Linked DNA regions of Rhinolophus ferrumequinum. The protein of the gene in region 1 purifies or fractionates together with the protein of each later gene. This does not show direct contact. Links are inferred from orthologs where the notes say so. Each region holds a gene or a part of one and is shown in the gene's direction. Other genes may lie near its edges.

The links. Proteins that work in one complex are often made in the same cells at the same time.
Region 2: the proteins of AAK1 (region 1) and AP2B1 purify together in Homo sapiens (affinity purification with mass spectrometry; 4 studies listed by BioGRID and IntAct, with this or other methods). This does not show direct contact. The link is inferred for Rhinolophus ferrumequinum from reciprocal best matches to the Homo sapiens genes AAK1 and AP2B1.

Annotation. Positions count from the first base shown.
Region 1 is NC_046296.1:21,205,627-21,216,046, forward strand, and holds the start of AAK1 (AP2-associated protein kinase 1), read left to right. Parts: upstream 1-5,595; 5' UTR 5,596-5,722; intron 5,723-5,739; exon of another isoform or gene 5,740-5,939; intron 5,940-6,239; 5' UTR 6,240-6,307; exon of another isoform or gene 6,308-6,421; 5' UTR 6,422-6,461; coding exon 6,462-6,624; intron 6,625-10,420.
Region 2 is NC_046304.1:23,146,679-23,157,923, forward strand, and holds the start of AP2B1 (AP-2 complex subunit beta), read left to right. Parts: upstream 1-6,201; 5' UTR 6,202-6,410; intron 6,411-6,464; exon of another isoform or gene 6,465-6,614; intron 6,615-7,466; exon of another isoform or gene 7,467-7,557; intron 7,558-11,245. Other genes in the region: PEX12 (peroxisome assembly protein 12), read right to left, coding at 1-310, 627-752. UniProt on the Homo sapiens protein: Component of the adaptor protein complex 2 (AP-2). Adaptor protein complexes function in protein transport via transport vesicles in different membrane traffic pathways.

The DNA of each region.
Region 1 (10,420 bases):
TTTGTGAAAATTTGTATAGGTCAACTTTCAAACATATGAGAGAACATGGGGTATTAAAAATGAACTTAGTGTTATGTCAATGAAAACTTTGGAAGACCACTGTAATAATTCCCAAGTAAAGCGTCCCAAGATGCTCCTAGCAGAGGCCCAGTTGAAAGCCTGTAGATTTCAACTGTGGTCTAATCTCTGCCCCCCTTGTTAAACCAAGTCCATCAGCAAAAAGAACTACATGGAAAATATTTGCAGTGTCCAATTGTAAGTGGGCAAGACACAGCGTCAAATCACAAGTCAATTTCCAAGAACAGTGGGCACAAGGGGTCCAAGTGTAATTGCTGGGCTGTCCTATCAAGTGTATGGGGCCAGGGATTTAGGAGTTAGTGTATATTACATTCAGAAAAACAAAGGTTCAGAAAGTTTTTGTGATCGGTGTGTCCACAGGGCTCCATCACTAATGAAGTCTAAGGATGAGGTTACCATATGCTCCAGATTGTCTGCATAGTCCAGTTAATGTTTGTTGTCCTGGCATAATTATTAATAGTCCCCTGTGATACTGTGATTTATAACAAGAAATATATATTGGTCTTTATCTGTGCTTTTGGCACAGAGCTCCTAAAACTCTTGGAATTTCCTATGTTATAAGAGCAATAAAGGTGTCTTGATAGTCTAACAAACCTCTTTTAACAGTATCTGTGTTTATGTTATGAGGTCACTTTTAGAAAGCACTTAAGGAGAGGGGCTCGTTGCTAGGGGAACCAACCATGTGATTGGAGGACTAGAACTTTCAGTCCCACCCACCCTGACCTCTGATGGGGATCAGGGTTGAAGGTTGAATGATCATCAGTGGCCAAGGATTTAGTCAATCATGCCAACGGTAATAAAGCTGCCATAAAACCCCAAAAGTATGGGGTAGGGAGAGCTTCCGGATTGGTGAACACGTGAATATTCCACGAGAGCGGTATTCTCTGAGAAGGCACGGAAGCTCCAAGCCCCTTCTCACGTACCTTGCCCTATGTGTCGCTTCCATCTGACTGTTCCTGAATTCTATTCTTTTACAATAAACTGGTGAGCTAGTAACTAAAATCTTTCTTTGGGTTCTGTGAGCTGCTCTGGCAAATTAATGGAACTCAAGGAGGGGGTCGTTGGAACCTCTACTCTATAGCCAGTTGGTCAGAAGCACAGGTGACAACTTGGTCTTGTAATTGGCATCTGAAATGGGGTGGGTGGGGCAGTCTTACAGGACTTAGTCCTAAAGCTGTGGGGTTTGACACTATCTTCAGGTAGATAGTGTCAGAATTGAGTAAAACTGTAGGATACCCAGCTGGTGTTGAAAACCCACATACTGGAATTGGGGGTGCAGAATCGTATATGTAATTTATATGCTTTAAATGTCTATTCTCAATTTTTGTACTTATGTCATCATGGACCAGTTATAAACAGTTAAAAGACTGGCACTAGTCTATACATCACACTTTCTTGAGTATCACCATTATTAAGAAAGCAGAATAATACCTCTAAGAGGACACCCTCACGGTGGGTGTTTAATGAGTGTTTGCTCAAGCAAACGGTACTGAAAAATTGAGATCACAGTCTTACATTTAATGTCTGTGTAGATGATGTTTAGCTTCCTGTTGTTCCCTAGGCACAGACCATACACCTAAGGTCAAAATTCAACTAAGAAGACATGAACAGATGGCAAGAAGATCTCAAGAATACGTGCCTCACTAAGGATGAGCCTAGGACATTCATGCTGCTCTGCCTGACCATTGCAGGAACCTCAATTTATATTTTATGTCAATTATAACAAGTACATCTTAGTTCAATTATTTAATGTGCCCAATTCAGTCAATAGAACAGACTTTTCTAAAATGAAAAGGCTGAGCCCCAACTTAAGAAAGCATCTGGCTAGATATGCATTAGTTTCTCCCAGCAATGCATTCAAATTCTTTAAATGACTCAGAAAAAGATTACGACTCATAACAACACTGCGTATCTAACGATGATTAAACAGGAAAAGAAAACCTCATAGGTTTATGAAAAATTCTACAGCATATAAAAGGAAAACTCAGTGCTCAAGATGCACAAGAAGGCTACCCTTTTGAACAAGGTTTACCAAAGGCAATTTCTGTAAAACACATCTACTTTATATTTGCAACAAAAAGAATCAAAAGAAAGTAGATAAGCAAAGGGGTGTCTGTAAGGAAACTAAAATGCAGAAAATGGTGAAGAGAGAATGTTGCCTCTGTGCCCCCTGCTTCCATTCAGTAGATCTGGGTGGGGCCTGATAATTACATTTCTAGTAAGTTCCATTGGACTGAGAGATGGCAACATAGAATGGCTAGTTGGTATAGTGAAAATGACGTGGGTTTTGAGGTCAGTCAGGATCTGATTCTGGCTCTGCCCTTTGCAGGATGTGTGTAGCAATAGTTGACTTACTTTAATCCTGCTCATCCTATTTCCACATTGATAAAATAAAAGCAAAGCACACCTCCTAAGTGTATTGTGAAGGATGAATGATATGATTAAATATCTAACACAGTGGAGGCCTTCATTAAGGTCTTTAAAAATGTCGATCCCCTTCCCTTTGATTTCCTCTAAGGATGTACCACACATTTGCCACCCTTGGGTTTACAATGACAGAATTTAGCCATCCATGGGTCAAATCATTTCCTCCAAACCTAATAAACCCTCCCACTCACAAAATCTTTATTGTTCATCCATAAAATTGGGGATAATAGTATAATAGTATCTACTCTAATATAATGGATAATAGTATCTACTTTGCACAGATGCATCCATGAGGATTAAACAAGATGATATGTGCAGCGCTTAATATAGTAATGGCATATGGAAGATATACAGTATACGACAGTTTCCTGTCCTCTTCCCTTCAACTGGGTATTTAACCATAGTATCTCCTAGACCAAGTTCAAAAGCTCACGTAGTCTAGAATACCTCAAATCAATCTTTCCACCTTAATCAGATTGTTCCCTTTGTGTCACAAATTTGAAGTCAATTATTTGGTTTATTTAAGTACTGGTAAGGATACACTCTATTTTATTGGATGTTCAAGGAGATAAGTAGAATACTGTTCCCTGACCTTGAGGTACTTGGTTGAGGTGATAATATACATAGAAAGTTGAACAGGAGTGAAAGGCAGGGTGGAACAAATTATACAAAATGTGGTAAGAGTTGCGAGATTGTAACGGCTGATCTGTGATTATTTTGTATTCAGGAACTAGAGAATTACTAAGAGTTAGAAGAGAGATCTGCTTTTATGGCTGAGAAAACAGTCCAGAGATCTAAGTGTTTTAGGAGCACAGCTCTGGAGTGGCAGGTTTCCTGGCTCCTGGTCCCATCCTGCTGGTAGATTTTTCTGACTATTTTCAAGTATTTTAATCAGTTTACATTAGCTCTTTCTACGTAGGCAGTTTCGTGTAGCTAGTTAAGCACTGGGTTCTGAAGCCAAAATGGGTTGGAATTCTGGCTTTGCCAGTTACTATTGTTGTGACTTTGAGCAAGTCACTTATCTCTATGCTTCAGTTCCCCAATCTATTAAATGAGTAGAATAATAGTACTTTATTTCATAGGGTTGTTGTAAGGATTAAATAACTTAATATACGTAAAGCATCAAAAACTGCGATTTTGTCATTATAATTATTATCAGTCTCTGAGAGAATGGAAGGCAAAAGGCTATGGTCTTTTAATGATTTTTTTTCTTCTTCTTCTTTATAACCTCCTCCCTCAGATTCTGATCAAAGCATCCAGGTGAGTGTTCACTAAATACCTTAATCCTATTGGATAAAAATAAGTTTTTGTATCTCAGAAGTGAGATTTGTGATCTGGTTAAGTCTGGCCTAGTCTGATAACAAGACAGTCTAGAAAAGTAAAAATTGAGATAGCAACAGATTCTAGGACCCAACAGAGCTTCTTTAAAAAAAGTCAGTCAAGATCAATAGATGCAGAGAAAGATGGAGGTCAGTGAATCTAATTCTAAATGAGCTTGCCTATCTATTTTAAGACCTATTCCAAACTTCCTTAGACAAAATTCTAGCCTTTTAAGGGAAGTGCAGAGAACATTCCTCCCTGGGCTTGCTTTGAGGGACTGTTTTAGCAGGTTCTGCGTTCTGCCCTGGAGGTGGCTGCATGCATTTGTGAACTGAGGTGACAACATTGACTCCCTTCTGAAGAAAAGATGCTGTCTCTACACAGGAAGTTTAACTAGAATGGCACTACTTGAAACAAAAAGGAGGAGAGGAGGGAGAAGGAAAAGAGGGAAGAGAAAAAGAGGAGGAGGAAGGAGAAGTAGCAAGGACGCTGAGGCCAGCCCAGTCACACACAGCTCAGTTCAATATTCAGATTAGAGAAAGCAAGCACCATTTTTTCCTGGAGCACACTTCTCTACTCTTCTCAAATGCCTGCGGGGGAAAAAAAAAGATCCTGGGACGAATCACAAGCTAGGAGGGCTGTCGCAAAACTAGGGACCAAGGAGAGCGGGTAGAGGTGAGAAATAACCTAGATTCGGGAGTTAGAAAAATCACGGATTTGGGGTGGGGGGTTGGGCAGGAATTTGGCACTACATTCAGCATCATCTATCAGGAAATCTAGGAATGGAGAAGGGTACCACCCGGCCTTCCAAATCTTCTGCATTTGCTAGATGCAAATCACTGTCCACTCCCACCCTCAGCATTCAGGCGTTATCAGCGTAAAGTAGTAATCAAGGAGGGGAAATCTTGAAGTGAAAAAGAAGTAATCGAAGGTCAGCCTAGGGCTCTTGTGTGAGAGAGGCTGGCTTAGTGAAGGTCAGACCCACCCACAGCACCAGCAAAGGTGGAAAAATTAAGGGTCACCATCGGCAGACGAGCCCCAGATTTAGGGGTCAGAGCCAAGGAGTTCGATCTCCTGGTACCCCAGGATTTGTGCTGCACACACCCTTTAAATTTCTCGGTTTGAGTCTCGCCTGTAGATTCTCAGATGAGATACTGTATTATTAAGTGCTCTCACAGCGCCTAGCTCAGAGCTGATGGCTGAACCGGTTCTCAATAACATCTGGGAGCAAGAGCGTCTTTTGAGGTTGGGGGCGGAAGGGCACTGGTTTTATTTATGTTAGGGTGTGGCCCCGCATCAACTGCTAGCAAAATTTTCCCGATCGCCCTCTGTCTTCCACCTTCTGCCTAGGTGACGTCGGTAAGTCCCGCAGGACCGGCTAGGGGCTAAACTGTTAAGCTGCGTCCTTCAGGTGTCAGCCTCGATCCGTTTGGAAACCACAAACCCCAGAATCCCTTGTGCAGGGAGATCAAGCCGCAAATAAGATGGCTCCAGAAGGGTGGAACATGCAGCAGGGTGGAAACCCTAGTCCCTGGCAGTTTCTTTACCGGATGTGTTTAAATAACCGAATCCTCACAAATGCACCACCCCACTAACCACCTTCGAGGCCGAAGAGGCCACTGCCATCGCCTCCGCCTCGCTGGCTTCTCCAGGGGCATCCTGGGAGTTGTAGTTCCCCCCTGGGCAGCGCCGAACTACCTTTCCCATGGTGCCCTGCGGGTCGGGCGATTTCAACGTTCTTTTCTAAAACTCTCTCCGCACTGACACCCCCTTTTCCCGGTCCCCTTCTCTCCGACGACCCCTTCCCGTGTGTCGCGACAAGGCGGCGGGCCGCAGGAGGGCCCCAGCCGTCGCCGCACCGCCCCTAGAGGCACTTCCGGCGGCGGTTCACTTCCTGGTTGGGTGGATGGAGCCGGGCGGGAGCGCGCGCGGGGGAGGGGCGGCGGGTCAGTCTCCGCCGGGCGCTCCGGGGATCAGCTGGCGGGCGGGCGGGTGCCGAACGCGGCCCCGGCTCTCGCTGCAGCGCCGCCTCATCTCCGTGTCGCAGGCCGGCCCGGCGGCCGTGACAATGTTGCGGGGCTGGTAGCTGGGCGCCGGCCGCCGAGCCATCTCAAGTGGGTGCTACCGGGATGCTGCCTCGCGGGGCGGCAGGGAGATCAGGGAAGAGGGGGAGGCAGTGCTCGGCTGGGTCGGCATTGCCCAAGGCGGCCCGAATCCCTCCTTTTTCTGAGCCCCGGGCACGGGGTCCTGGGTTTTGGGGTCGGGGATGTGTTTTCAGCTCCAGGATTTTTCTCGTTAAGGAAATGCATGAAGCGTTTCCCCAGGATGATGGCTTTTGCTTCCTCTAGGACTCAGCAGTTGAATTTTCAAGTGTGTTACTGATTCATCCTCTCTCTCTTCCTCTGTCATCACAGGTTTAAACTTACACGAATCGCTCTCTTGAGGAGGAGGGGACCGCTGCGCGATTGACACGCATATTCCTGTAGGCATCCTCCCTCAGCCCCCACCCCCACGGCCGGATTCGGGTGGCTCCTTTCCGAGCTGAAATCCGAGAAGAAATCCTTGGATCTCTTGTTTTCTTTTAAAAAAAATCTAGAAGCTGTCGGTATTTTGCTTTACTGCTTCCTATTCGCAAGATGAAGAAGTTTTTCGACTCCCGGCGAGAGCAGGGCGGCTCTGGCCTGGGCTCCGGCTCCAGCGGAGGAGGGGGCAGCACCTCGGGCCTGGGCAGTGGCTACATCGGAAGGGTCTTTGGCATTGGGCGACAGCAGGTCACTGTGGACGAGGTGTTGGCGGAAGGTACGGTAGGACTCTTGCAGTGCGCGGTAAACGAAAATGTTGGGCTGATGCAGCAAGATTCTGGTTTCTAGTTGTTGAACGTATGAATGGGTTCTGACCAGTTGACCCTCCCTTCCCTCTTTCCTTGCCCTGTGAATCACTGCCCTTGAGAAATTTACAACAGACGTGAAAGTGACAGGGTTTCTGGGGTGGGGGAAGGTTGCCCCAAATTGTTTACCTCAATGGCTTTTTATGTTTTAAAAAACATTGACAAGCCAAATCTTGTGAGCCTCACTGAATTATGAGGAGCAGATGAGAAAACCTATATGTGAAAGTGCAAAGCTTCACATCAAAGGTAGGGGGTAGTGGGCTTGTCATCCTAAAACTTGAAATAATTGATGTGAGGGCTGAAGAGAGGAGGGTTTCTCTTTCTCTTTCTCCTCCCCAACTTTCCCACTGCCAAGAGCAGGCATTGGAAGGAAGACAGGATTTTCAGAAAATGGGAATGTTTTTTCTACGAGCCAAGGCTCTTGGATTTGACTGGGTTTGTTTCCTGACCCAGCTGTCATCAGGTCCCCAGGATGTAGCTAAGATAACAGAAATTACATGAAATGAATGTGGTTATTTTGAAATCCGTCCAGTAGGCCCCTCTCATCTCCTGTTTTAGTCACCCCTCCTCGCCCCCCCAGGAAGAATTACTTGAGAGTGGCATCATGATTTTTGCTTTTCCTCTGTTGGAGAAGGTGTTATTTAGATCTGCTCTGTGAATTCCATATCTATATCTAAATCTATATCTTGATTCCCCAGGCTTTCTGGAAATCTTCGCATGTCTCTTCGTAACCTTAACCTCGACCTTCATAATTATGCCAGACTCATACTTTTCACAGCCCATTGCCTGCCTAGTGTGCTTTTATTTTTAATAAAAGCAGCAATTTTCTTGGCATGAAGCTATTCAAACTAATTGGATGGGGCCAGCCTGCTGTAGGTTGTGTTATCAGCCGAGAGGGGATGGCGGAAGGGGGAGGCGTCTATCACTGCAATATGGAGGTGGTGGTGGGGAACAGTTTATTAGCTGGGGAAGGAGCCTTTTTGCAAGCTAAGGTTGAAAAGATTTTTTCGACCTGGGCCTGGGAAATGCCTGTCATAGTGAGTCTTGCAGGCAGGTCAGTTGGGAGGAGGAAGAAGCTGTGTTTGGCTCTCAGCTTGTCTAAACAGTGGATTCAGCTGGGCCCAGTTTTCTGGGGTTAGGGTTAAAGCCTCTACTTTAAAAACACTGTTTTTAAAAAGGTCTCACGATGCCCTTGTGAAATTGTTGCCCTTTTCCATCCTCAGTACTGCTCTAGCTAGACTTAATGTGCGGCCTGAGTCACTGTCCCTTTGGATCTTTCCTTGTGGGCTTTGGTGCAGGATGGGAGATGCTTCTGTGCCTGCTGCCAGATCCGCACCCTTGAGTCTGATGAGTCTCTTTCATCCCTGTGCCAAAACCCTTGACTGCAGTGGGATGGAGACATGAAGGAGTGGGTATGAGAGAAATCAGGAGGAATGATGGGGGCACAGAGCTCTTTCCTTCTCTCTGAATGGCCTCTGCTGACCTTAGAGCCCAGGAGCATTTTGTTCAGCTAGGATATTCTCTCATTGTAGATGGTGCTACCCTAAGCAGTGCCTGTCCTCAGAGTCTGAGTGATGGGAAAGAGAAAAGGCAAAGTTGGTCTTTGTCATTTAGGTTGCCCTCCTTTTCCCCAGAATTCATCCCTGAGAACTGTACATCACGCGTTATATTTTTAGAGGAATGTAGGGCTTGCAGCTCTGCATTCCTTCATTCGTACATTGGACAGACAGTTATGGCGTCTGTGATGAGCCAGGCACTGCGCTGGGCTCTGGGAATGTGCTCCACAACTAGACGCTGGAGTTTACAAACTACTTTGAGAGATGGAAAACAGCCACTTAGGATAGCGTGGTATGTGCAATCATGGAGATACATTTAAGGTGGCCCCCAATTTTCGAGAGCCAAGAATTGCTTTGTGCCGGAAGTGACTGACTGAAGAATGGATAGGAGTTACCCACCGGGTGTGATGACGTCATGGACAGAAATTCAGTAACGACACAGTCTCCTGTGAAGCTGGGGGTGGCAATGTTGCCCTCTTTATGTTCTCTGGCTAGAACTGAGTTTGAATTTGTGGCTATTAGAAGTATGTGGCTATGGAGGAGCCAGTGTACCAAGTATTTATGGAGCAGAAAGTGATAATTTGACTTCTTCATTCCCAATTTAGTTGCCTTTTATTTCTTTCTCTTGCCTGATTGCTCTGGCTGGCCTTCCAAATACTGTGTTGAATAACAGTGGTGAGAGCGGACATCCTTGTTTGTTTCTGATCTTAGAGGAAAGGCTTTCAGTTTTTCACCATTACGTATATTAGCTGACGGTTTCAAACACAGACTCTTATTACCACCAAATCCCACTGATCATCCCTTTTTCTCTAACGTGGGTATTCGTCTATGCGTTATAGTGCGGAATGGCAGGAATCTCGAGGAGGTGCTGGGGTAAGACAGGAGAATGCTGGGCTGCCAGCCCTCCATCTGCAGCGTCAGTCCTGCTCGCCTAGTTTCACTAACTACTGTGTTTCCCCGAAAATAAGACCTAGCCGGACAATCAGCTCTAATGTGTCTTTTGGAGCAAAAATTAATATGAGACTCGGTCTTATTATATTATGTAGCTAACACCCGGTCTTATAAGACCAGGTCTTGTATTAATTTTTGCTCCAAAAGACGCATTAGAGCTGATTGTCCGGCTAGGTCTTATTTTCGGGGAAACATGGTAGTTTAGCAGGGGCTTATTTGCGGGAAGTGAGGAGCATAAGTCATGAGTTCAGAGGGATGTGGCTTTATCTAGGCTTGGTACAGGGGAGGATATTTTCTCTCTAGCTTTCTCAGCAAGATGCCACAATGAGATGCTAGATCATGTCTGATGTAATGGGCATGTAATGTCAAGGAATGATTTGGTTTAAGCTTCCAGAATGAGCTCAATGGGAAAATTGGAGCGATGCTTAAAGAAGGACTGAAGCTATGCTTTTATCATACCTCCTTAGCTATATGAGGCCTTACATCTAAGCTTTAAACAATAAATAAATGTTTGTTGAATACCTGCTGTGTAGAAGACAACATTCCAGAACTGCTTAAGTTCTATATAAGGTGGACCAGGTGACCCTTCTGAACAATTTCTCACCTACACTAAAGGAATCCAGGTCTAGAGGTAATGAAAACTAAGTCTCCAAATCAGTAAACTTTAACAATTTCTCCTACCTACTACCTACAGTACAAGGTAGCAAGACTTAAAAATGTGTGTGAAACCACCTGAGAAAAAACCAAACACACACAGACACACACACACACACACACACACACACACAATATACATATATGACATATAATTCTAGCGTGTTGGTGGTACCAGTATGATCAATATGATGCATGCATGTATTCATTTAGTGTACGTTTGCTGGTACCTTCTTTGTGACAGACACTGTATTAGGTTCCTAAACTACCGGATGGATGGGACTTAGGTCCCGCTCATATGGAGCTCATAAACCAACAAATGACCCAAAGATAGGTGTCCATCACTTATCATGACGCTTGGTGGATAAAAGATAGTGGTCAAATGATATTAAGAGATGGTAAAGAGAAAGGGCCTGGGGGTGAGGATTTGCAGATGAAGTGTGCTTTGAACAGGAATGGAAATTGCCCAGCAGATGTTCCAGATGAGGGTTACCCAAGGTCTTCTAAACAGAGAGGATAGCAAAAGTATAGAGTGGTGAAAAAGAAT
Region 2 (11,245 bases), on another chromosome or scaffold:
GGATAGAATATTCATCCTCTTCTCTCAGGCTAGAAACCAACTTCTCCAGCTTCACTTTCAGATAGGGAAGAAGAACCAGGAACATAATTGACTTCCAAAGCTGCTTCTTTGGGAGACCAGCACTGGCCAGTCTCTGAAGCTTGTGTCTGTCCCCCATTACAATCCGCTTTAAGCCATAAAAGTTTTCAGAAAATGAGGCACTGGTTTTAGACAGATAATGCTGCTGGAGCAGAAGATCTAGCAGGGTAAAGATTTCATCAAACCACCTCCAAAAGAAGCCATAGAGGGCAGGATTTGATTCTGCAAGAACCTAAAGCAAAGTAAATTAAATGAAATTCATTGCATTTTACAGCTACTATGCCATGTATTTACATTTCCTTTCCCCCTCTAAATTCTACACTTTGGGATTAAACAAGTCACTTCTTTGGGGGTCTGCCCTATCCTCCCTGAAGTGCTAGGTATTCATTACAGGGCTCTACACATAACAGGGATTGAGTAACGGTTAAATCATAGGATATGAATTATATGCTAATGGGTAATTTCAAAGCTAGGCTACGGAATACTGAAATTACTGATTTTTACCCAGTCGTCCCTAAAACCACTCAAAGAATTACGTAATACCTTACCTTGACCACATGTTGAAGAGCAGGTCTCACTGCTGTCATTAAACTGTCCTGTGCTACCACCTCAAAGATGGATGGCTGGTCATCCAGCCCAGAAGCGGTTGTGATGTGAGCCCCGTGCTCAGCCATAGTTTCCTGTACGCACTGGGTTTCACTTGGCGCACACTCTCTCGAGTAAGCATGAACTTATGTGGGGGATCAAATGGGTGCTGTCGTAGAGGTAACCTTTCTGCAGGATACCCGAAACTCCTCCCAATTTTTATGGGAAAGGGGGAAAAAAGACCCTTTCTGGAGGCAGGAGGGAGGAGTCTCAAGGAGGTTAAGAACGAAGTTAACGCAGATGTGGGTGGAAGTGGTGTGGGGGGAAGGGGTGACTTGTCAAACGCTGCACCTCACAGGGCAGAACACGACTGAGGAACAGGTATGGAGAAGGAGCACTGTCCTCTCGAGCTGCAGTCCTGGAGGCTGCGAATCAGGGACTCCCCAATCGTGAGGGCTCGAAAGACAGCCGGCTCTGAGGGATCAGAGGTTCCCTGTACGCCACGACTGGCTCCACCTGTTGGCTGTCAAGTATCCCCGCCCGCGCCTGTCCTTGCGCGCTGACCCCAGGCGAGGCGCGAAGGACCCACGACGCCACGTTTGAAGGGAGGTCTCAGCTTTATGACAGAAGCCGCACCCGGAAATAGAAGCCGCCGGCGCTGGGGAACGGCGGCGGAGACGCACTCTAGTCCCCAACGCGGCCCGAAACCGGAACTAGAAATCTCCATGACCCCACAAGCACTTCCGTTTCCGCACCCGCTGAAATTAAAGTGGGCACTAGGTGATTGATTCCCTTCGAGTGGAATTCTCCGCTTGTTTGTTTTAGTTTTTTTTTCTTCCAGCTGTTTTTTTTTTGCATCGCAGTCTCGGTGGAAAGCCACAGCTCTGAATCTCTGCAGAGGTCTTTTTGACAAGGTGTTTGGGCCGCCGTTTGGAGCCAGATTCGGGGCGGCTGCTGAGGCCTGTGTTCTCGCGGGCGATCTAGTTAGGGATGGAGGGATAAGCGGAATGTAGAAGTGGGAAGGCTCTGGGCGCGCCGCAGGGTGGTGCTGAATTTATGTTCTGCCGCCTTCGGGAAAGATTTGAAGCGACGTAGCTGGAGTCTTAGCTTTATTGCCATCAATGGTAAAGAAAGATGATTAGAATGAGGTTCCTGCGGTTCCTCGGAACTTGGGACGATTACTTTTCGTCCAAGCTGGTAGCTTACCTGTCTTCTAGGTTTGGTTACATTTAAGCATAACTCTGGGCACTTGCTATACTAGATGAAAACGGTTCCTATCTTCCTACATGGTAGGTGTGTCACATTAGCAATGTGAATACAGTACTAAGGCGGAGGGATCCTGACGAATTCTACCTTGCATGAACTGGGGAGGCTTGACAGAGAAGGTACTTTTCATTGTATAGCAAACTTAATGTAATTTGCCTCACGGCTTGCAAAGTGCTTCTTACATTGTACGCAACTTTGCCTCATTTGGATCGCTGATACAGGTTTATCGAATTCGGATGACTTAAAGTTCAACTTGTCTTCTCCAAAACTTCTCCCCCACCCCTGGGCTAAATAGCCCTAAATAGAAGATATTATTTACTGCCTAGAGGACCTTATAGTATACAGATAATTGGTTTACTTAAGGAGAACCCTCAAAAACAATGTTTAGGTTTCGTTGTTTGAATAGGAGAGAAATAAAATCTTGCAAGTTACCCTTAATTATAGTTTTAAAAAGTGTTTTTTAGTCTACCAGCGTACCTGCCAGATAAGTCACATTGATCAAAGATTTTTACCTTACAGAGTTTAAGGACTAGAGATAATGTATCTCTATAAAGCACCTGGTACATGTTACCTATTATATACAGGCTTTTCTTACGTGAACAGCAAAAAGACGAAGTTGAGAAAGAGCATCAACTAAAATAAGTGGGAAATTATTTAAACATTTGTATCAATTACTGTTCTTTGGTTAAAAGCAACAGAAACAGGCTAAAATAAAGTAAAAAGAAATTTGTTAAAAGTATATGGAGTAACTAACAAAATTAGGAAAGTCAGCTCTGAAGGAACAGGAACTACACAATCCTACTGGATGTTTCTAGTGAGAATAAGCAGTCTCATCCAGGCAACATTGTTGAAATGAATGAGCTTAAACAAATTTCTGTCACAATACTTATGATTCAAATTCCTATTGACCTACCTTGGTTCAGATTTCCTCTCCACTCTGTTTCACTCTTAGCCAGAAGAGGGCAAAACACCTTGATTGATAGTCCTCTGAGGATACTCCAAAACTAAAGTTATTACATGAGAAAAAGGAAAGGTAGTCAAAAACAACAAATGTCAATTATTACAGCCAATAAATAAACACCTCATCACAAATCCCACCCTCAGGTTTATAGTTTAATAGATGATAAGACACAAAAAGTGATTGCACATAACGTTAAAGGGTATTAAGAGCCATCAGATAGGTTAATGTATGGGTTTAGTGGAAGTGGTAACTACCACCTAGGAGAAATAAGGCAGTTCAAACTAGCTTAAACGTAAGGTCTGTGTAACCAAACAATAACGTTATTTCTAACCTCAGATTTTATCTCAGCTTCTCTCTGCCAGTTACTTTCTGATATAATGATGTAACCTGGTATCTCCTGTACTTCATCTCATTAGCAGATGTCCACTGAGAAAGTTTTGTCAATTAGGTGGACCTCAAAAGCTGAGTCCTTTTGGGGGAAGTCATGGGCGTAATAGGGCTTTCCAGGCTAAGGGAGCAGCATGAAGTCATAGGAGGAGGAAATATTTAGTTTCCTTTAACCATGGAGCCACTGAAAGGAATAGTAGAAACTGGGTTGAAAAGTACATCTGGACGCATTATGGAAGGTTTTAAATGCTAGGTTTAGTACTTTGCCTGTGGACAGTCATTCATTTCTTTAACAAATATTGAGCACCTCCTCTATGCCAAGCGTTACGCTAGGTGCTGGCTATAAAGTAGTAATAAAAACAGACATGGTATCTGCTCTCATGAAATTTAGAGTATAATTGGAGAGGGAGAAATAAACAAGTAAATATACTAATATATAATTTATAAATTGGGAGGGCTGGGATGGGGGTGACAGTGGGGGCTGGGAGGGTACAACTAAATTAACACCGGTAATATAATATCCCTTACCTATATGGGCAGGAAAACTGTATCAAGTCAGTTCCTGCCTTAAGCCAAAAGAAATTTGGCTCTAGGTGAATTTAGATTATTAGGTCATCAGGGAGTGCCTTTCTGAGGAGACTGCAATTAAACTGCAATCTAAATTATAAGGAGCCAGCCATATGAGGAGTTGGAGAAAAAGGATATTAGGCAGGAAGAGCAATAATTGTGGAAGACCTCAGATGGGAAAGAACTTGGTGTATTTGAGGGTTACAATATATATAGCAAAAGGGGAAATGAGGCGTGACTGAAAGGCGTAAAATGATGTTAGAGAGACAGACAGGTGTCAAACCACGCAGGGTCTATATAGGCCATGAGAAGGAGCCTGGATTTTAGTCCAAGTGCAATGGGAAGCCATTGAAGGATTTATACACCAGAGTCATGGTCAGGTTTATATTTTAAAGATGACCCTGTAATGGTTATGTGTTTATGTTTACTTTGTGAAAATCCATCAAGCTCTACATTTATTATGTGTGCACTTTATTGAATGTTTGTTATGCTTCAAAAAGTTTAGCAAACAAAAACCTGGTTGCTGTAGGATTATGGTTGGGAGGAGAGTTGAGGTTCCTAGTAGTCCAGGCAAGAAGTGATGGTGGCTTGGACTAATGAGATGGAATAGAGGGGATTCGATGAATTTGAGATGTATTTTGAAGGTAGGATTGACAATTGGGAGATGGGTTGGATGTGGCAGTTAAGGCAGAGAAATAAAGAATGACTCCCAAGATTCTGGCTTGAGCAATTTAGTGTAATTTATTGAAACAATCAAAATTATAGCAAATATTTACGTAGTAATACTATGTACAGGTATAGTTTTAAGTGCTTTACATGTACTGATTCATTTCATCCTTGTAACAATATGATTGAGTATTGCTATTTTTTTCATTTTGTAGATGAGAAAACTAAAGAAAAAGTCAGAAAGATGGGGAAAACTGGGGGAAGAATAGGTTTTGGGGATATCAGGCAATGAGGAGCTGTTGTCAGTTTTTGAATAGGGACTAGATGTGAATCAAAGTTAAGATTTTTCTGGTGGCATCTTCTTGACAAAATCCACCTCTGTCTGCTGGGAGTTGTACCTAGAACCAGGTTTTCAATCAGCCCCACATTCCCTTATGATTTGCTTAATTTGGGTGGGCCATAATTATAGAATTACCCATCAGTGTGGTTAGCAATTTGGTGGTGAAGTTTGGGGAACAGGTCAAGGCGAGAGATAGAGATGTTAGAGTCATGTGTATGAAAGATAATTGAGCCCATGGTATTGCTAAAGGGATAGTCTAAAGAAAATGTGTGAGTATAGAACTTAAAAAATATATCTTGCTAGTCTCTCCCTCAGATACCATTCTATATCTCTTCTCTTTTCAGCCATACTTTCTTATGAAGTTATTTGTTACTCCTGACTTCATTTCCACACCTCTCATTCATCCTCAAACTTCTGCAGTGTGGCTTTTGCCTTCATTTCTCTACTGATGTTCTCAGCAATGACATCAAAGACCTTTGTGTTGCTAAATCCTTGGACACTTTTCAGCCCTTCCTTATCTCTATGGCAACTGATACTGACTAGTCACTTACACATTTATCCATTCAACAAATTTTGAGGAGGGAGGCTAGGCCTCAGAGATAGAAGAGTGAACATTGCTATAGTTCCTACTTTCATGGAACTCTAAAAGCATCCTGAAACATAACTGCTTGCTTTTCCTTCTACGTCTCTGACTACTCCTCTCAGTCCCTTTGAAATTTTGCTTTTTTCAGCTTTTGCCCCAGGCTCTCTCACTCTCCACATTAAAAAAAAAAAAAAAAGACTTGATTTTTGAGTAGTTGTTAGGTTCACAGCAAAATTGAGGGGAAGGTACCAAGATTTCTAGGTTGTGGTTAACAAAAGGAAGTTTTGCGTAAGCACACCTATTACATGTTTTACGTATTTTATCCCCGTTAAGCTTCACAAATCCAAGAGAGATACAGCCTTTGAGACTTCCTTTCACAGATACGTAAAGGTTAAGGAGATGTTAAGTAACTTTCCCAGCCTCATTCAGGGCAGAGATTTGAACTCAGATCTGATACCATCTCAGCCTTTTTCCTTGCACCACTTTCCTCTAGTCCCACTGCCCGTGTATAGTCTTGGGGTGGATCACCATTGTCCACACTCCTGAACTGGCCTGGGAAATTAGCTCAGTTGTTTCTTCTTTAAGAAAGGAACAGGATATTTCACCCTCTCTATGCGTAAGGATTTTAGAGAACTGTGCGAGGAAATAAATTCAGAGCATGTCAGCTTGTTTAATATATCCCTTGGGCTAGACAACCATCTGAGACGCGGGTGTCAGGTCTCTTCCAGACCAAGCGGAATCTGTGCCCCAGACTGCAGAGAGCACCGACTTTGGGTTCTCTCCCGCGCGCGGGGATGACGTCGCGCGGCGAGGTTCTCTAACGTCAGAGTTTCCTGTCCACCATCTTTGTCCCTGGCAAAGTAAGTTTTGCGCAGTGGCTGAGACCTGGAAAAGGAGTCGTGACGTGCAGGAAACCATTACAACACCACTCGGGCAGTGCTCTCTGGCTGCTGCCGCCACCCCCGCCCTTGCCTCCGGTGAGTTCAAGCTGGCCAACTTTGGGGTGTGTCCCTCCTTGATGGGGCGGGGGGATCTCTAGGATGGGTTGCAGACCGGCAGAGGAGAGAACATCCTAGGAAGGTGACCGTTGAGTAAGGAGTGAGCCGTCGGGTGTGACCGTTGTGAGGAAGAGGGTTGGAGAAAGGCACTCCACCGCTGTGGCGGGGTGCGGGAATCCTCGGGTACGGCAGCTGGGATCTGGGCATTGGGGGAGCGGACCGAAAGGATGGATATGTTCGAAGTCGGGGGTTAGGAAGGCCGGAGGTCAGGGGTGTGGCCGGTAGAGGCTGGAGGCCGAGGAGAGGACCTACCCTCGCTGCTTGGCGTCTTTCATTGAGACACTGGGACGTGTCCAGCTAGCAAAAGGGAAAAGGGATTCCCCCAAAGGTTTGTCCATTCATGGGCAAACCTCGCCCGTCTCCTGTAATTTGAGGTAAAGAGACCTCTCTCCCACCTCGTAATGGAGGAGCAAATCCCAAGAATCTTGAGCACCTGAGAAAAGAACAGGAATTCCTGACAGGGGAAGGGAAGAAAAGCTTCAAGAGCTGACCCAGTGTGAAAGAGGGAGAAGCAAGTGGGGATAAATCTTAATCCGGAATTTTTTCTTTCTGGATTTAGGATTTAGCACGAATGATCTGGTTTGAGAAAAGCTTGTAGATTAAGCCAGAGGCAAAGAAACTGGAACTTCCTGTTATTTCCAAATTCTTTGAATCCAAGGAATGTATTTATGCTGTTTGTTTTCAAAACAGTCTTCTATTTGGGGGACAGGCTTTTACTGAACTCACTTGCACGTTTGATTATGAAGCACTGAATAAAATGTGGCTGCTTCATTAAACTTTGACTTTTGAAAGGAAGTGTTTTTAAAATACCAAACTGTGATAATCGGTGTAAATTTTTTTTAAAAGAAAGTAGAGAAAACGCAGTCAGTTTAGAAAAGGCAGCATGACAAAGAAGGTGGTCTCAGTGAGGAACAATTTAAATTATTAATAACCTTCCTGGTGTACTTCTCTTGGTTAGCCTCAGGGTACACTTACAAAGTAATAATAGAAAGCAGCAGATGAACGAGATGCAGCTGGACAAGACGGCATGTAACACGTTCCAATGATGACTAAGCATAGTGGTAAGGTGAGAACCGTTTGCAGGTATCTTAACAGTTTAAACAATTAAGGAAGCAAAAGGATAGTGTGTTCTGCAAACAGCCTCACTGAAAATTGGGTGGTAAAATTAATATAAAGCTAACATTCTGTGAATGAAGACTCAAGAAAGTTCAGTTCTTCCACTTATTTTTTTCCTTAAACAGATTCATATTTTAAAATATTACATTTTAGGCACGGGTTTGAGGCAAGCTGAACAAGGAATGAATAAGATAGGACATGTTCTCCTTTTTTCCTCCTAGGTTTAAGTTTTCCAGAGTTTGTTGGTATTTCAGTTAAAAATTGGATGTAAAATTTTTGAGCTCTTACTGTATAATATTAATACATTACTTTGTAGTTTTATATTTAAATGGAAATCACAGGTGTGTCTGTTGTAATTAGGTGTCTTTTGTAATTTCTTAGGAGCTAAATGATACCTTAAAATACTATTGTTACTGCATTATCACTGAAATATCTGACTAGCACCTCTCACCCTTGTAATAAAAGATGGCTGGAGTGACCTTTCTGCTCTATAATTTGGTTAACTCTTTGGCCAGTTTTTCCATGTAAATACCAGACTGTCTAAAGCTCAACTTTAAGTGAAAAGAAAGGATTTAGTGGCCTCACCAACTCTAATTTAGCTGTCATTTCCCAGAGAGCCATTTGAAATTAAGATGCTATTAATGTTTTTCTGGCCTTATTCTCTTTAGGGGGACTGGAAGGAGGAAGAAATAGAAAGAGACAAGGGACTTTCACAATCTATCTTTAGTAGAAACTAGGTTATGTTAAATCTAGATGTATAATCCTGTACTAGGAGACCTTCTCTGAAGTGCAGTGACATCACACTGGGGGCTAGTAAGAGTGATTGTGTGCTTTGACTGGCAGCTTTGTTATTTAACAATGTCCCTAGGCCACCTTGGAAGTCCTCTGAACATCAAGGACTTGTCTAGTTTGATCTGGTAGAAAGGTAGTATGAATTCAGACTCTGAAATGGCTTTCCTCTTTCCTGGGGATCTCCTGAAGGAAATAGATAGATATTTTTTTTAGGAGTTTGATTTTTGAGACTCTTCCCCAAATACTTGATTTTTTTTTTTTTTCCTTGAGCTCTATATTGGCTGGTTTTTCTTTGGCTTCTAATGCAGGCAACAGTTTTCACCGTCCTATGCTTTGGGGAACCTGGTTATGCCCATCTCTGGCATGTGATTAAACGTATCTCATTTAAAAAATGATACAAATGGAATTTTTTGAGCTGAAATTCGCATAACCTAAAATTAACCATTTTAAAGTGAACAATTCAGTGGCATATCATACATTCAATTGTGCAACCACCACCTCTTCTCATTTGTTTTTGTTTCAACTGTTTTCATTTTTCTTAGAATTTCTTTTGGCTTAAGGCAAAATTGACTTAAATATAGTGTTTCCCTGCCAAAATGGGTAAGGGATATTTCATTACTGGTGTTTACAACAGTGTAAGCTAAGAGTGATGTTTTTCCTTTCTCTTTGAGAGCAGGAATTCTTAATTTAGGATCTAAATTAGGATTACTTGATTTTCTCCTCTTTCCTGAAATTTTGTGGATGGGTACATTAATCGCTTAATGTTTAATGAACTTTAAGAATACTTAATGCTCACGATGAATAGGACAAATATATTCCTTGACAATGAATTTTTTAGGGAAGGTAACGAAATGTGTGGGTCATTAATGAAGGCAGATTTTAAGACTAGGTTAATTTAATGTTTAACAGATTGTGTTGAAAACTGTTAAGAATTTAAAATGTGTGTATGTCTATGAGAACTTTAGCAAACAATGATTTTTTGAAGAAACTGGGTGAAAACTTCAAAGCAGATTTTGTTTTTAAATCTTAAGCAAGGTTTAAGTTTTGATGATCCTATAGGACTTAGAATGGCATGATAACATCCGAGACAGACCATAATGGCCTTGAGCTGTGGCTCTTCTGTCAGGCTCTAGTAATCATTTCTGTACACTGGTTTTTCTCTTTGTGTATGTAAGTGCTTAGATGATAACTTCAGATTTATTCCTTGTCCTTTATGGAAAGGACTCTGTTCTTCAGTTGGCTCATTTCATGTTTAGTTTACATTGTGAATGGATTAAATGATTATAACATTCTTTGAATTTTTACTAGAAAGGCATTGTGAAAATACTGTGTAAGGCCAGCCTCTGTTACAGATTAATTTTTAGTTATAACAAATACTATCAAAAACAAATTTGTGCATTCTATAATGATATTTGTGAGTTCTAGCTCACTTCTTTCAACAAGGTAATTCAGTGAAATTCTGGTAAAACCTAAAGTACTATTGTATAAGGATGAGGACTGTAAATATTAATAGTAAGGAGCTGCTTGGAAAGATAGCAAGTGAGTCTCATTTCCCTTAGATTGTCCAAGTAACACATTTTAGAGATCAGATTTGGCTCTTTTTCCTGTTCCTTAAATAAATTGATTTGTTTAGTGCATAGGTTTGCCAAATATATTATTACTCATGTTGTTTTGACCATGAGCAGGTACCAGGGCATCTGTCCTAAATTTGGTAATAAGTATTGTTAATGATGGTGGTAAGGAAGAAGATACTCTTTTTTTTTTTTGAAAGCCATTTTTTTTTTTTTTAAGATTTTTTATTGGGGAAGGGGAACAGGACTTTATTGGGGAACAGTATGTACTTCCAGGACTTTTTTTTCCAAGTCAAGTTGTTGTCCTTTCAATCTTAGTTGTGGAGGGTGCCGTTCAGCTTCAAGTTGTTGTCCTTTCAGTCTTAGTTGTGGCCGGCTCAGCTCAGCTCCAGGTCCAGTTGCCGTTGCTAGTTGCAGGGGGCACAGCCCACCATCCCTTGGATCGACCGGCAACCTTGTGGTTGAGATGACGCGCTCCAACCAACTGAGCCATCTGGGAGCTCAGTGGCAGCTCAGCTCAAGGTGCTGTGTTCAATCTTATTAGTTGCAGGGGGCAGAGCCCACCATCCCTTGCGGGATTCAAGGAGTTGAACCGGCAACCTTGTGGTTGAGAGCCCACTGGCCCATGCAGGAATCGAATCGGCAGCCGTCGGAGTTAGGAGCATGGAGCTCAAATGCCTGAGCCACCGGGCTGGCGCAGAAGATACTCATTTTTGAGAGCAGAAGGATTATTATTAAAAGAAAATTTTAATGTATTCAAAGAAGTCAAGTGCATTGGACAAAGTCTTAGAGTTTCTCAAATCAGAAAATATTTTCTCATTATGTGGGGAGAAATGTGACCAGTCGTGTTGTTTTTGTTTTACTGGAAGAGCCCTGTGTCAGCTGGATGAATTCTGGAAATTGGAACAGAAGAGTTAAAAGTTGAGGCTGGGATCTGTGTTCTTTTAAGTTTTATGTCAGTTCTGATTCTCTTTTATGTGCAATGTTGACAGACATCTCAGTTTCTTGCCTTGTTTTTAACTGTACACTATTACTCTTTGGGAATACAGTTGGGATAAGTGTAAATTATTGGAAATATGAAAACTATAGTTTAAAAATATTCATGCATAAGGCATGCTTGCCTCTCTAGATGTTTGTCGTGAAAGAACATTGTTCTACTAATTGAAACTTTTTGGTGGTTTTGATTCCTTTTATTGAAAGTTGAATGTAATGGTGAATAGATTGGCCGCAAGAAGTTACATTCTTAATTATCTTTGAGTCACCAATGATGGTGGT